Linked DNA regions of Alligator mississippiensis. Each later gene encodes a partner of the first gene's protein in a complex. Links are inferred from orthologs where the notes say so. Each region holds a gene or a part of one and is shown in the gene's direction. Other genes may lie near its edges.

Region 1 (7,996 bases):
TGAGCATTTTCAAGGTGTCAGCTTTTTGTTTGTCCTCTCCTGATTCCAGGTAGGCAAAAGTGTCGACGGCTTGAAAATTGTCAGGGGACAGGGAAAACCATTTTCTACTCACTCCTTGCCATGCCCCCAGTAACAGGACGGAGGTCTGGGAAACTCCATACAGCTTTGCCTCCTTTCCCACTGCACCCACTGGTATCCTTTAAAAGCCCAATAAAGCCCTAATATATCCAGCTAGGGCGTGTGTAGATGACATGGGCGTTAATGTAGACCGCCCAAATTAGAAAGCTATTATATATTACACATTAATGACATATTTCACATGAATTACACATCTATTATATAGTACACATTACACATATATTATATAGTACACTTTAATTGCACATATATTACATAGTACACATTAATTACACATTTTGCATGAATTACACATATATTATATAGCACACATTACACATGAATTACACATATATTATATGGTACACATTACACCTATATATTACACATTAATCACACAGATATTACGCATTAAAACCGATGTTCAGCCTGCTGATTCAGGACAGGCCACATAACTTTGCTGTCAGACTCCATCTTTTTGGTGTTTTCCATCAATTGAGCTGCTCGTATAATAGTGGTTCCAGCTTGGGTAGCCGGTCCAAGCAGAAATTACAAACTTTCCAGCAACTCCAGCTATCAGGTTGGGATCTGCTGGTATTTTATGGGTCTAGTACATCTGGTGCAGAAGTTGTCCCCTCGATAAGTATGACTTCAGGTCCCAATAAAAACCACATCAGATCAAGGGTTCTGGTAAGATTAATTTTCTAGCGGTTATTCAAGGCTGAAGTGAAGTGCTAACAGATTGGCTGTAGGGTGAACTGGTAAATATAAAACCCAGCGTTTGAGATGAAACGAAATGGGTTTGGGTGTCTGAAAACCGTCTTTGCAAAGAGCCTGACACTGCTTGTTTCTTTTATTTTTTTAAAAATCCTCTGATTTTGTTTTCTGCCTAAGTAATGTCAAGGAAACGTCTTGAATAGCTTTCTAATTCCCGAGGGTCCCAGAGGCATAACTTTTGGAAGGAATTAGATTAACGCTTATGAAAAATAAATTACAGGCTGAGTGCTCGTTAGATAATTTTGAACAAATGTCTTGATCTGCGGCAGGACTGTCAGAAAATAGAAGGGGTGGGGGGAAATCACCGGCCGTGGCATTTCAGCTGAAAACACACAATGTTATTTTCCCCCCAAAACCCAAGGAAATGAAGAGGCGCTTTCCTCGGGGCTCGTCTCAGCGCTAAGTGGACAGGCTGGGCAGGACGAAGGAGGGAGGAAGATGAAGGCAGGGAAGCGCTGGGGCTTCGTGCCTCAAAGCTGAGGCATGACGGGCCCCTCTCCTGCCGCAATACGGAGGCTCGCTCTCCCGAATTCACATGATGGACGAGACGGGCAAAGCCCTGAGGGGTGTTTAAGCCTTCAGAAGAGGGAGAGGTCATCTTTGCCCAGGGCTGATTCCAGTCCTTCAGCCTGATTTCGGGGGCCTCTGAGTCTTTTTTGAGGGGCTTGCGCAGTCCTCTTGGTGGCAAGATTTTCCTCATACACCACCGTCACACGGCCAGCGGAGCCAGTCCCACAGGCTGCCCCCAGGTGCTCCGTGCTGCTGCTGGCGCAGTGTCGCCCACGGGAACGGTGCTGCATAACGAGCCCTGCTAATTAGCGTACCCACAGCACCTTGTGAGCGGGCACCAGCTCCCCCTTTTGAGGCAGTGTGGGATGCTTGAGGGCAGTGGCACCCCTGGCTGAGCACAGAGAGGTCGCCGTGTCAGCAGGCTGAGGGAGAGCCTCCATTTTGAATGGCGCCCTTTCCAGACGGTCTCCTCCACTTTGAATGGCGATGTTTCTAGACGGTCTCCTCCATTTTGAAAGGCGCTGTTACCAGACGGTCTCCTCCATTTCGAATGGCGCCCTTTCCAGACGGTCTCCTCCATTTTGAATGGCGCCCTTTCCAGACGATCTCCTCCATTTTGAATGGCGCCGTTACCAGACGGTCTCTTCCATTTTGAAAGGCGCCGTTACCAGACGGTCTCCTCCATTTCGAATGGCGCCCTTTCCAGACGGTCTCCTCCATTTTGAATGGCGCCCTTTCCAGACGATCTCCTCCATTTTGAATGGCACCGTTACCAGACGGTCTCTTCCATTTTGAATGGCACCACTACCAGACGGTCTCCATTTTGAATGGCACCCTTTCCAGACAGTCTCCATTTTGAATGGCGCTGTTACCAGATGGTCTCCTCCGTTTTGAATGGTGCCGCTATCAGACAGTCTCCTCCATTTCGAATGGCGCCCTTTCCAGGCGGTCTCCTCCATTTCGAATGGCGCCCTTTCCAGGCGGTCTCCTCCATTTCGAATGGCGCCCTTTCCAGACGATCTCCTCCATTTTGAATGGCGCCGTTACCAGACGGTCTCTTCCATTTTGAATGGCACCACTACCAGACGGTCTCCATTTTGAATGGCACCCTTTCCAGACAGTCTCCATTTTGAATGGCGCCGTTACCAGACGGTCTCCTCCATTTTGAATGGCGCTGCTATCAGACAGTCTCCTCCATTTCGAATGGCACCCTTTCCAAACGGTCTCCTCCATTTTGAATGGCGCCGTTACCAGATGGTCTCCTCCATTTTGAATGGCGCTGCTATCAGACAGTCTCCTCCATTTTGAAAGGCGCCCTTTCCAAACAGTCTCCTCCATTTTGAATGGCACCATTTTGAACGGCGCTGTTCCAAGCTGTCTCTTCCTTTTGGCAGCTGTGCTTTATTTGTGCCCTTCAAATCCTCCCAGACGGGGGTCGATTCCAGCACTTTGCTCCTGGTAGAGCAGCCATGGACTCACGCCGGGCTGCCAGAGTCTCCGCCAGCTCCTCCGTCAGGCTTGCCTGCTTCCACGGGCTACCTCTGCACAGTCCCCAGGGCCTCGATGTGTGTGAATTTGTGCATTCGTGCTCAGGAAAAGCAGAGCGAGCGACCTCAGTTTGCCCATCGCTGCAATCACAGGACGCCCCCACCTTCTCGGTGCCTCAGAGAAGATGGCTCCCTCCTAAATGACCCCGGGCTCTGGGGCAAATTCCTTCTGGTCACCCGAGAGGGTCGTTAGCACTCTCCGTGGGGACTCGTGGCCATGTCTGGCTCTGCTGCAGGCGTGCGACCCTAGGTGAGTCTCTCAGGGCCAGAGCGTGAACCCTTTACTCGCAGGAGCGACGCTTAGTGGCAGCATTTGGCCCTTTGCCTCTCAGCACACAATCCCGCTCCCTTTCTTTCTCCGTGGCCTGTCGCATCTATTCAGACAGGCTTCCTGGAGCAGAGACCCACCCGGCGTGTCGTGCATTTGGAGCCAATGCACCTTTTGGAGGGCTCAAACGTTGGCATGTTCGCCCCCTCCTCCCTTGTAACCTTGCACTTTGTGCACCGCTGGCTCCATTCGGGGTTCAAAGTAGAGCAGCTGAAGCAAGGCTCCCTCGATTAAAAATGTGGCCGCACGCTAACTTTTGAACGGCACGCACCCGCGGGGAGAGGAGCTGGGCTGAGGAGCATGGCGGAGGCACCGGGGCCGGCGTGGGACGCTTCCCGGAGGTAAGCGCTTCACTCCTCGCGCGGGGCAGGCACCACTCCTCCCGAGGCGGGACAGGACGGGCCGCCACGTGCCTCCTCGCTCCCCGAGGTGAGGCAGTGCCATAACCGCGAGGGTATTTGCAATTGGGCATTTGCTTGCTGATGGACAGAAGAGCGCTGCAGCAGACGGCCACGACGGCATCGCTGCGTGTTCGACAAAGCCCCAATAAACAGCAGCACTAGCCCGTGGGGAGTTACAGGGAACGGTCTCTAACAAAGGCAGAGAAAAGGGTCATGATCTCGCAGTCTCCCTTCTGGAGGCCCGGGTGCTGTATCATCTTCTGTTGTAAAACTGCATTATACTGTGGGGCGGACTGAGGTGGCGCGCGCCGAAAGGGGTAGGCAGGACCAATTCGGGAACAGACCGAAGTGGTGCACTCACAGATCGCTACACCTTAGAGGGGACATCTCAGGCGCACAAGCCTTCTCCCGTGGTCCTCCAGCAGCTGAAGTACCCTGAGAGAAGGCTTGTGTGCATGAGGTTTTCAGGTAAGTATTGCAGGTGTTGGAGTTCAGGGCAGCTGGGGGGGAGCAGGTGGCGGCATGTCTCCTTGAATTGCACGGGAACTGCAAAGCTCTGCACGCATCACCCCATTCTCCTTCGCCCAGCCCCTCCTGGTGGCAGCCTTGAGGGGAAAGGAGACCCAGGGTGAAAGCAGCTCGTTGAAGAGCCCGCGCCACTGCGCCAAGCAAATAACGCTGCTAAATCCCCTGCTTTGCAGTGCGGCTGACCCTCCTGTAATCTAGATAAACACCATGTTTCTCCCTTTGGCCCTTGGAGCCTGGCTATAACTAATGCACTCAATTGCAAGATTGATTTTGCCTTAAGAGCGTGGTCAGCAGAAGCCAGCTCCTCGCGGAGCAGCGGGCATACTCTTGCTAGCAAACAGAAGCTATTAATTGATACACAGGAGTTTACAAATACAAAGTGTATTTTGGCCTGCGCTGAGTCATTAATCCTGCGTAGTTTTTATAGCAATAGCACTTTAATCACTTCTGCTTGGCTTTGGGGTTTTTTCCCACCCCTCCCCCCGTAAGGAAATGCTTTTTACACAGGTGTTAGGATCATTTTTATGCACAGGTGCCAATTGTGAAATGCTTTCCAAATGAAAACCTGTTGGGCATGTCTCTGCCTGTGCCCAGGCTGGAGGAGTACGTCTAAAACAAGCTGTGCCATGCAAATGTGGAGTTTTCTGTAGAACCTGGTAGTTACACAACTTGTATTTGAGGTGGTTTGAAATTCTTCCGTGGCATCGTGTCCAAGCGCCCTGTAGTGTGTGTTTGTGGCTGTCTGAGCCTGGGTGTAATCCAGCGCTTTACCTGTTCTCAGCTTTCACATACTTGCTTGCAAGCTGCCTGTTGCATTTTGCAGAAGAGCCACTGAGCAGCAGGAAGAGAAACGGCAAAAGCAAATAACAGCTGGTTTTAAGAGAAGAGAGGACTTCCACTGAATCTAACTGAAACAGGTCAGAGCTCACTTCTGCTCTCTCCCAGTTTGGGTTTCTTGGTCTGAGGCTTGCTCCCTGAGGTCCTGCATTTGGTAAGGTCTGTGCAGCACTGCTGAGGCTTGGAAGAGCGGAGCCCAAATCTGTGCTCCTTTGAGAAAACTTCCGCTGGGAGCTGGCCTGAGTAAGGAGAACCAGGTTCAGGTCAGAGCAAGCTCCCATTGCCTGATCCCAGCAAGTACATGGTCCTCTTGTAGTTACCACAGAAGCAACAGCTTTCTCTAAACGAATATTTCATTTTAATAAGCCTAGGAGGCTTTGGCAGAGATCAGCAGTTAGAATGATACGGTATCATTATGTATGAATTAATTATTATTGTTAGGACAGTCTCCTGCGGTTTGTGCAGTGTTTACTCACTCTGTTGCCTGCTAACTTCAGTAGGCATTTGCTTGATAAAAACTGAATTGAAAAGTATAGGTGAGCAAAAAGCTCCTGGCAAACCTGTAGGTGAATTGTGTCTGAGCAGCCACAGCTTTTCTCAGATTTGCTCCATTTGAGGAATATACTCAGTCAATAATTTCCTGGCATGCAGCTAGGTTGTGACCTCGGCTTGTACCTGGTGGCCTTGCTTCGCTGTGTCTGCCTCCTGTTTCAGTAGATGTAATGCCAAGCTCCCCGAGCAGAACAAGATGTGAAGCAGCATGAAGGAGCTTGCTGTCACCCCCGATCATTGGGATCGGGGGCTCTCTCTTATTATGTGTGTACAGCCACTTGTACACTTAATCTTGCCAATGGAATCACAGAGCTGGAGGAGACCTCCAGGGTCACCCAGTCAGTGGGGGTTCAGTCATCCTGAACCATCCCAAACTGATGCCCATTCAACCTCTTCTTGGAAACCTCCAATGAAGGAGATTCCATCTCTTCCCTGGGCAGCTTGTTTCGCTGTCCTATTGCTATTACAATTAGGAAGCTTTTCCTGAGATTTCATTTAGATCTGCAGTGCTGGGTGAGCATTGCAAACTGGACCTAACAGCTTGGAGAATTCAGCCCCCAGAATCAGCTTGCCAGCCAAGACTGGAAATAGCCAAGACTGAAAATTCAGGGTTCTCTTCTTGTGAATAGTCACTAACAAATGCTTAAAATTTGCTAGGTTTTTGGTTGAAGCCGTGTCGGTCTAAGGACATAGGCAGGCGAGGTTCTTTGAGTAGACGTGATATCTTTTATTAGACCAACTGAGAGTAAATGGGGAAAAAAGTGCTTAGTAAACTTTTGGGTACAATCACCCTTCTTCAGGCATAGAAAGTCTCTGCTGTTCTGAGACTCCAAGGAACGCGAGAAGCTAAAAGTGTGACAGGATGTCAGTGAGAATGTAAATAGGTAGAAATGTAGGAAAACAAAAGGTAGAGCAATAACATTTGCTATTGCTTTGAACATTCCTGCCAAACAAGAGGTGTAGCAGAGTCTCCATGGCAAATGCATGTCATGGCACATGGGATCACTGACCTTATTAAAAAACTAGGCGCTTGCTAAAGAAAACACGTACAGACACATGCAAAATAGGTTTCCACACAGCTTGAGTTCCAGCTTTGTTTCCCAGGGACCCACACCCTGGATCTTCTGTACGGCACCTGGAGATACCTACTGGCTGAATAGTATACTACAGGTAAGCAAAGCCATTCATTGCAGGAGAGGTTCGTGAATGTAGTGAGGAATAGGATGAGATGAGATATGCATCTGACTCACTGAAGGAAGTCACCATTTGGCCTGCTCCAACAAAAAATTTCACAGTGCTAATTCATTGCCTTGGGCCGGTGGCTGGGGAAGTAAGTTTTTGCTGTGAAAGCCCAAGACTTGAAAAACTTGTGCAGAAGAACGCAAAGCTTGTGTTTCCTTTCAGGGCTGAAAGCAAACACATCCAAGGAGCTTGACAGTCCATTAAAAACAAAGATAACGGAGCCTCTTGGTGTCTCTCTGTTGGCAGCAGCCTGGCTTCCCGTATTTACTTGATAACATGATGGCAAGCACAGCAGGCACAAATGCCTTGAAATAAATAAGGGAGCTCTCTGCCCTGGCTCTGGGTTAATCTGGTTTGGGGAAAATGGTGCAGAGCACAATCTGGTAAATCATGCTTTTTTTTTTAATGTAATGTACTATTTACAGTACAGGGGCTGTATAAATAAAGAGCAGCCAGTAATAAGATATTTATCACTAAGTGCATCACACAGTGGTTTATTTTCCATAAATTCTGCCAAGGGTGAGCAATTTCCAACCACAGCTGCAGTCCCCTGGTGTTATCAGTGTCTGTGTTAATTAGATTTAGGTTTGTGTGTGCGGTTGCGGGAGAGAGAAGCTCTCTCTTGCGTGGCAATCAATACCTTCATCCCATATTTCAGGGTGCAGACGCCTATCTGTCCACAGGGGTGGCATGTTTTTCCTAGTGCCTGCTCAATCAATGAAGTTTAGTTCAGCTGCAGCTTCGTCACTGCGGGCAGCATCGGACTTTGAAACCCTGCTGAGATCTTCCGCAGTGGGGACCTCTCTCTAAAAGGGTCCTGGCATTGTCTAGTATTTTAGTTTCTCCTCAGACACAGCCCAGCGTGGAGAGACTGTGACAAAGCCATATCCGATGTATCTGGATAATATGAGTTGATGGGCAAGAACCTAAGAATATTGAAATGTAACCTAGTTATTGAGATGTTGTATGAGCTCTGTATAAAGTTATAATGTGAATAATGCACCATCATGTTTGAATTCGATAGGGGTGGCAGGAGGAATAAAGGGGGAATCAACACCATGACTTCCCAGCTGAGGCCATTGCGATGCATGCTCGAAAGGCGATAGTTTGGTGTCAGAGATACTATCTCTAATGTAGGTATCTAGGTATCTCCGATG
Region 2 (6,904 bases), on another chromosome or scaffold:
AAGAAAGGAAAAAATAAAAACACACTAATGAATCTGCATTTTTGCTCAAAGAGGAGAATAAGAAAACATCAGCTGAAAAAAAAAACACCTCAAAGACCAACATAAGACATAATAACTCACTAATGAAGCAGAGATAACAAGAACGTAAGTGTAGGTGTGTGAACTTTGCAAGAGAAACAAGTAGAGATGGATACCTCAATAGAGAGAGAGAGTAGTCAGTATGATGTGAGGAGTGCTCAGATATAAATACAGGGGCTGCAAGACGGCCACGAACATTAATCACATACTGCTCTGCTACCTGAAGCTTCAGGAAGTTGGGCTGACCATTAACGAGACCGAGCTGGTACCTTCTGAGGACGATAAAACTTTCTGAGTTTTCACCCCCAAACACTGATTCGAGTCGCTTTTCTGTATTGCCTCTGAAATCTGTAAGGCTGCTTGCTAGCCTCAGCCTTTAGGAACGCACAGGCCCCAGCAGCCTGTCTCCCCAAAACGACAGCTCTAAGAGACCACCCGCAAAAGAGCTCCTATGCCTTGGGGCAGCAGCACATACGCGTGCTTGGGCCTCTGCACTCGCACCACCATCCCGGACGCTGCAGTCTCTCCCTGCGGGAGCTCCAGCACTCAGTCCTGGCCTAGCGACGGCCACCAGCACAAATGCCACAGAACTGAATGGGTAGCGGGGACTCGGACTCTGGCATTAAGGTCAGCAGTGGAAACCTCTGCTGGACAGAGCAGTTTTCCCCTTCCACCACCCCCCCCGGTCCTACAATAAGGGGCAGGAGGAGTGAACCGAGCGTCAGGGCAGGCTCCTATAGGGGAAGCACGTCCTACAGTACTTTGCAAAGAGCAATGAATGAAGTCCCAAAGATCCGCTGTGATTTCGGTCTTTTAACCACCCCAAGTCGCAGGTGGGCTAACCGAGGCTCGGACAGGAACCAGCATCCCGTCTCTTGCTGTATCAAGGCCCAGGCGAGGTCAGAACACGAGCCGACTCCCAATCCTTGCCCCAAGACAAGCCGGACTGTGCCCAACCACACTGTAGGAAGCCCCTGTGCGTGCACACCAACCCCACAATGAGCTGGAGGAAAGGGAAGACGCTCAGGCTACTGAAAGGGTTAAACAGGAGCACGCGGAGAGAAAGTGACCACAGGAAAAGGGCACGCTGGAGACTGAAAATCCTCCGGCTGGCCCCTCATCCTGTTTACAAAGACAACAGGGCAGGGTCCGGTATGCAGCGGGGCCTCATCCTGGCCGGCAGCCAGGGACAGGGCTGGCTCCCAGAGGGACAAGGGCAAAGGGGGCTGGGCTCTCCGCTGCCACGGCAGAGCACGGAAAGGAAACCCCACGTCCTGCCCCCACGATACCCGCGGGGTGCAGGCCCTCGCTATCCCCGCTGGGCAGGCGGCCAGGAACCTTATTCACCCCGCACAGCTGCTCGCTCTCTCCCCGACCCGACCCCACACATCTCCGCCTTGTCTGCGTGCTACAGCCCTAGACGCAGCATCCACGCGCCCCCGCCACGTGCTGCTCCTCCGCACGTCCTCCGCTGACAAAGCCCTTTCGTTCTGCTCCCACCAGTCTCAGCCCTCCCGCGCCCCCTCCACCGACGCGGCCGGACCCCAGCCGGAACCAGAGACACCTCGAACTTACAAAAGGCAGCGGAGGGAGGCCTCAGACTGGAGCTCGGCCAGCGGACTGGGCCCGGCATCCACGTTGCAAGGGGGACGCTAGCCAAGAGGTGTCACAGGATGATGACACCGAGGGAAGGGACCTCGGGGGGGGGGGGGTGTCACGTCCAGTCCAACCCCCCCACACTCGGAGCAGGACCAGCCCCAGCCACGTCACATCAATCCCAGCTGACGGCGCTTCAGGGCACCCGCCCGCACACGGGGGCGCTTCAGGCCGGTTTGACCCCAGCCCCGCGGCGCTTGCGGGGCTTTGCTCCGCCGTGCCCCAGGATCTCCACGCGACGCCGCAACGGCTGGCGGGAGCTGCTCCCACGAGGGGAGGCCGCGGACCCCCTCGACGCAGAGCCGGGCGCGGCCGCCCGCCACGCACGACGTGGGCAAGGGGCGAGCGCGGGGCAGCACGCCCGCACTGTGCCGATGGCCGGGGAGGGGGGCACGGGGGGGGGCAGTGCCCCAACCCCCCCCCACGGCTTCCCTGCCACGGGTGCCGGCCACCCCGCCCGCCCCTGCTCCCCACACTGTCTCTGCCCCCTCCCCCACCCACCATCTGCCCCACAACACCCCCGCCCCACTGCCCCCTCTCTCTCCCCCCAACACCCCCTCCCCACCTACCAGCCAGCCCCTCCCCCACAACACCCCCTTGCCTGCCCCTCCCCCACCTACCACCCTGTCCCCCGCAACACCCCGCATTTTCCCACCCCTGCCCCTCCCCCATCGTGCCCCCACCCCCACAACACCCCCTGCCCCCCCCTCACCGCATCGCCATGGCAACCCGCCGGCTCCCGCACCAGGCCCCTCAGCCCCGCGCTAGGCCCCGCTGACCTGTGACGTCGCGCGGCAGCGTGGTGACGTCACGGATCCCCCGCCGAAGCTGCAGGCGGTGCCCCGCAAAGCACGACGGGAAGAGGAAATCCCGCGAGAACGCGCAAGACAGGCCGCCAGTCCTCATGGGAGAACTGGTTGTGGGAGGGAGGGGCACTTCCGGGAGCGGTGACGTCACGGAGGAGGAGGAGGCACGTGGAGCAGGCGAGGGGGCGGCCTAGAGCGGCCCCGCGCGGCACCATAGAGACGTGGCGGAGCGCCCTTCCGCCGGCACCATAGAGATCCCGAGGGCGGGCTAGAGCGCCCCCCGCAGCACCATGGAGACGTACCAGAGCGCCCTTCCGCCGGCACCATAGAGACCCCAGGGGAGGGCTAGAGCGCCATGAGACGTAGGGGAGCGCTCTCCCCCCAGTACCATAGAGACGGGACCGGGCGGTGTCTCCCCCAGGACCATAGAGACGAGGGAGACGCACCAGAGCGGCCGCCCTCCAGCCACGCGGAGCACAGAGACGCGCTAGAGTGGCCGCAGGGCGGCGCCCCCAACACGAGGGGCGCTGAGCGTTTGTACGACGGAGACGCCGTCAGCGCCGTTCCACGCACAGGCCGGCGTCGCGCGACGTGCCTGGGGTTGTCATGGTGACAAGACCCCGACTCTCTCCAATGTGTCCGCATCTTTTCTGCACAGCTGGACGCCGGACTCCAGATGTGGCCACGCAGGTCCCAGGACGCTGGTCGTCGTCACGGCGAGGGCGCCTGTCGCGGGCAGGGCCGAGGAGCGGAGGAAGGATGTAGCTGGCGTCGGCGTGCGCAGTGTTCGGCCGCCCCACGGCAACATTGCTCCGCTAATTCGGGGAATCCTCCAGCTTCCAAACACGTGTGACGCGCGGGGCCTCCGACACGCGGCCGCCCGCCCGGCGCGTGCGTTTGTAACGCGTCGCCTCCCCCCGAGCGGCTGCCGGCCTGCGCTCGCAGGCGCTGACCTCTGCCCGCGAGGGCCCCGCCTGCCCGGCCCGGCAGCTCAGGGGCGTGTTTGCTCGCCCCTCTCGGGCAGGGAGAGTTGTTGGTTTTCTGATAAAAACCCAGTGACCGATTCCTGAAAAACACCGTGGAAAAAAAACAAACCCGTCCAGCCGAGGGGGTGGGAAACGCGGGGCCGGAGCGGCGTCGGGCTCGGCAGCGAGCAAGGCTGGCGTTACCCCGGACGGATCGGCAATGTCTTGGCATCGTTGAGCGGCCTCGGGCGCTGGCGCAGGGAGGGTTTCTGCAGGGAGTGGAGCCAGCAAATGTCTCTGGACCCGGGGGCATGAGGGTGGGGGTCCCGGCCCCCACTCGGGGCTCAGAGGTGCATCCATTCACACCTGTGCAAGGTGCCTGGGAGGGGAGGGTCCATCCAGCAGCAGCACGACTCCCCATCCATGGGGGTTGTCAGCGTGCACGCCGAGCCCTGCCGGCTCGGGAGGGGTGTTGGGAGGGCAGGCAAGGCCTGTGCATAGTCATTTGGGGTGGGAGCTGGGGGAGCATCCCCTCAGGAGAGGCTGCCAGGATGCGGGCATCGCCCTGATCCCCGCACCGTCTGCGGGCTCTTCCCCAGCGCAGCGTGACCTCAGTCCCAAATGGACGGGGCCGGAGGGGGCGGTGGCGAGCGGGAGCTAGTTAATAGACGACCAAGATCAACACCGGGCGTTATCAGCGCTGTCCCGGGGCAGGCGGCTCAGTTGTGTTTCCTCGGCACCCGCAGACATGAAGGGGGTGCTGGCTCTGGTGCTGAGCCTGGCGGCGCTGGCGGCGGCCAGCCGGTCCGCGCTGCAGGAGCAGGCGGTGGAGCTGGCGCTGGCCGATTTCCACAGCCGCGGCCACATCCATTGGCTCTTCAAGGAGAAGTCGGTGGAAGGGGTGGTTGAGAGCGTGAGTGCTGCAATGCAGTGGTTGCAGGCCACGGGCTTTTCGGGCACTGCTGGGGTGACAACCCGCCGGAGGGGAGAAGGGCCTGGAGCCGGAGCCCGGCAGGAGCTCCCCGGGCACAGGGCAGGGTAGGCAAGCTGGGCTGTGGGGCAGTGACCTGCCGCGCTGAGCTACACATTAACTGGATGCTTGCCTGGGGGTGTGACGGTGCCTGCTTTCCTCTCCCGGGGCTTAGCCAAGGCCTCTTTCCCTGGAGGGGAAAGCCACATGGGGCTGGGGGGCTACTGGGACACATGATGGGGCAACTGGTCCCTGCTGGGTGCCCAAGCCATTTTGGGGAGGATGGGTGGTTTCATCTAGCTTTCGCTGTGGGCCAGGCAGGATGAGGCCAAGGGACAACACGGGTCCCTCTAAGCCTGGGAGAGGGCAGGAGCATCTCTGAAGCTTCCTTGTTTCTGGTGCAAAAAGAAACTAGAAGTTTTACTCATACGCCAGGAGCCCAGGGAACAGGACCTGCGAGGAGAGGCTGCGAGAACTGGGCTTGTTTACTCCCTGCACCTGCCTGGATCCGCCCCTCGTGTTACACAAGCAAATGTGCAGCACGGAGGCACTTAGTTAGTGGGACCTGGATTAGCACCAAGTACCCAGAGACGCTGCAGGAGCTGCCCCTCCGAAGGCCGGGAATGCCCTGCCAGTGCTGGGGTCCGGCTCGGAGCTGCCCCACTCCTTGTTGACCCCAGGCTCTCTCATAGGTGCAGTCAACGGGGACCTTCATCCGTCTGCACCTCAACCTGGTACCCACGACCTGCAGGAAGCAGCAGGAGAGGAAGCACCACTGCAGCGTTAGACCCAACGGGGTGAGCAAGCGGGTGGCCAGGCCATGCCTGGCACCCACGGGTCCACGGCTCATGCCCACGCCACTAAAGTCACTGGGAATTCGCCTCGAGGGCAGCAGGATCAGGGTCGTGCTCATTCTCCCTCTCAGTTCTCTCTGCCTCCTTCCCCCCCATCCCCACCCCTACCCTGTCTCCATCCTTTAGGGCAGGAGGCAGACGAGGATGACCCAGATCCTCCTCGTCAGAGCAGGTGGGAGAGGATGGGCCCAGGAGAGAGTACTGAGGGGGTGAATGGCTGCGTGAATGGGGGCATCCAGGCTTGGGAGGGGTGAGTGTGCGCACCTGTGCACGTGTATTGCAGTAGTGTGTGAATGGATGTGTGTGCATGTGCAAGTCCCAGGAGTAGAGGTATTGTACATAGGAGCAGCACGTGGGTGTGTGTGTGCACACAGTGCCTGAGGGAGGTGGGTGTGAATGCATGGCTGTGCCTGTTGGAGCCATGTGAGTGTGCTAATGGATATGCATGTGCAGTGCCTGGGGGGATGTATGTGCACATGCCTTGGAGCTGTGTGTATTGATGCACATGTATACGCAGTGCCTGGGGGGATGTATGTACACTTACCTGCAGAGCTGTGTGTGTTGATGCACACATGTGTGCAATGCCTAGGGGAGGTGTGAGTGCACATGTAGCTGTGCCTGTTGGAACCATGTAAATGTGCCAACACATGAGTGTGCAGTGCCCAGGGGGGTGTATGAGTCCATCCCTGTGGAACCACGTGGGTGCTAGGCAGGGTTTTTGCCAGGCAGGGCATCCGCTGTCCTGGGCTGGGCTTCCTCCGTGACCTCTGCCAAAGGCTCCCACCGTGACCTTGGCCTTGTCCCTTACCTCCTGGGTCCCCATACCCGGCGGTGGCTGGGCTACTAGCCTTATCCCACCCCACCCTGCCCTGCCCCACACTGCTGGGCCCCATCCATGCCCTTGGGAGATGAGGGGGCAGCCAGGGGTGCTGCAGCCTTGCTGCCTTGCCCCAGAGGCGCCTTCTGCCCCTGACTCGGTGGTCACGGCCTCCCCGTCTATCTCCACAGAGGAAGCGCAACTGCCTGTTCTGCGTCAAGTTTGGCAGCACCAGCCCCTCGGAGGTGCTGGACAAGTACATGCACTGCAGCGTGGAGCCGCTGGCCAAGGTAAGTGCCACCCTCTGCCCAGCTGCTGTCCCGAGCTTGCAGGGACTGGGTCTGGGGGGCTGGCAAAGCTTGGAGCCAGCCCCAGTGCCACACCTGGAGGATCACACACACACATGTGCGCAAACACATGCCTGCCCCTGGCAGATGCAATACCCCTCCCACGTACATCTAGAGCCATGCATGCATGGGGGCACATGCTTGTTTGGCTGCACCCATGTGGCACAAGCCCTGGCACCCCCATGCACTCAGAGCCGCTGCCTTTGCGGTAATGCCGGCTCTGCCTTGCAGGTGCTGTCGCCCAAGGACGAGCAGGAGTGCCAAGGGGTGGAACAGGCCGGTGAGGTGGTCTACCTCCCTGGCAGGTTCGCCTTCCTCAGCCAGCCGGACTAGCACGGTGAGCACAGATGGGGCAGCGAAGGGCGGGCGGCTGGGTCCTATGATGTTCAGGGCATGGCCCCAGCTGCCCCC

The links. Proteins that work in one complex are often made in the same cells at the same time.
Region 2: the proteins of CMKLR1 (region 1) and RARRES2 are in contact, whole or in part, in a cryo-EM structure (PDB 8ZJG), measured with the Homo sapiens proteins. The link is inferred for Alligator mississippiensis from reciprocal best matches to the Homo sapiens genes CMKLR1 and RARRES2. Residues at the interface, in NP_001135815.1 of Homo sapiens: Asp20, Tyr21, Leu22, Asp23, Ser24, Ile25, Val26, Val27, Leu28, Phe88, Leu92, His95, Tyr103, His104, Asn116, Leu119, Ile120, Met123, Arg178, Leu183, His184, Gly185, Lys186, Ser188, Cys189, Phe190, Asn191, Trp203, Thr205, His217; in NP_002880.1 of Homo sapiens: Leu34, Phe37, His38, Phe60, Thr75, Ser76, Cys77, Arg96, Leu111, Gly112, Arg113, Leu114, Val115, His116, Cys117, Pro118, Ile119, Thr133, Leu136, Arg137, Gln139, Arg140, His146, Ser147, Phe148, Tyr149, Phe150, Pro151, Gly152, Gln153.

What each region holds. Positions count from the first base shown.
Region 1 is NC_081833.1:4,564,740-4,572,735, reverse strand, and holds the start of CMKLR1 (chemerin-like receptor 1), read left to right. Parts: upstream 1-4,977; 5' UTR 4,978-5,125; intron 5,126-7,996. UniProt on the Homo sapiens protein: Receptor for the chemoattractant adipokine chemerin/RARRES2 and for the omega-3 fatty acid derived molecule resolvin E1.
Region 2 is NC_081828.1:219,304,493-219,311,396, forward strand, and holds the start of RARRES2 (retinoic acid receptor responder protein 2), read left to right. Parts: upstream 1-3,882; 5' UTR 3,883-4,253; coding exon 4,254-4,418; intron 4,419-5,167; coding exon 5,168-5,272; intron 5,273-6,337; coding exon 6,338-6,436; intron 6,437-6,724; coding exon 6,725-6,826; 3' UTR 6,827-6,830; intron 6,831-6,904. UniProt on the Homo sapiens protein: Adipocyte-secreted protein (adipokine) that regulates adipogenesis, metabolism and inflammation through activation of the chemokine-like receptor 1 (CMKLR1). Also acts as a ligand for CMKLR2.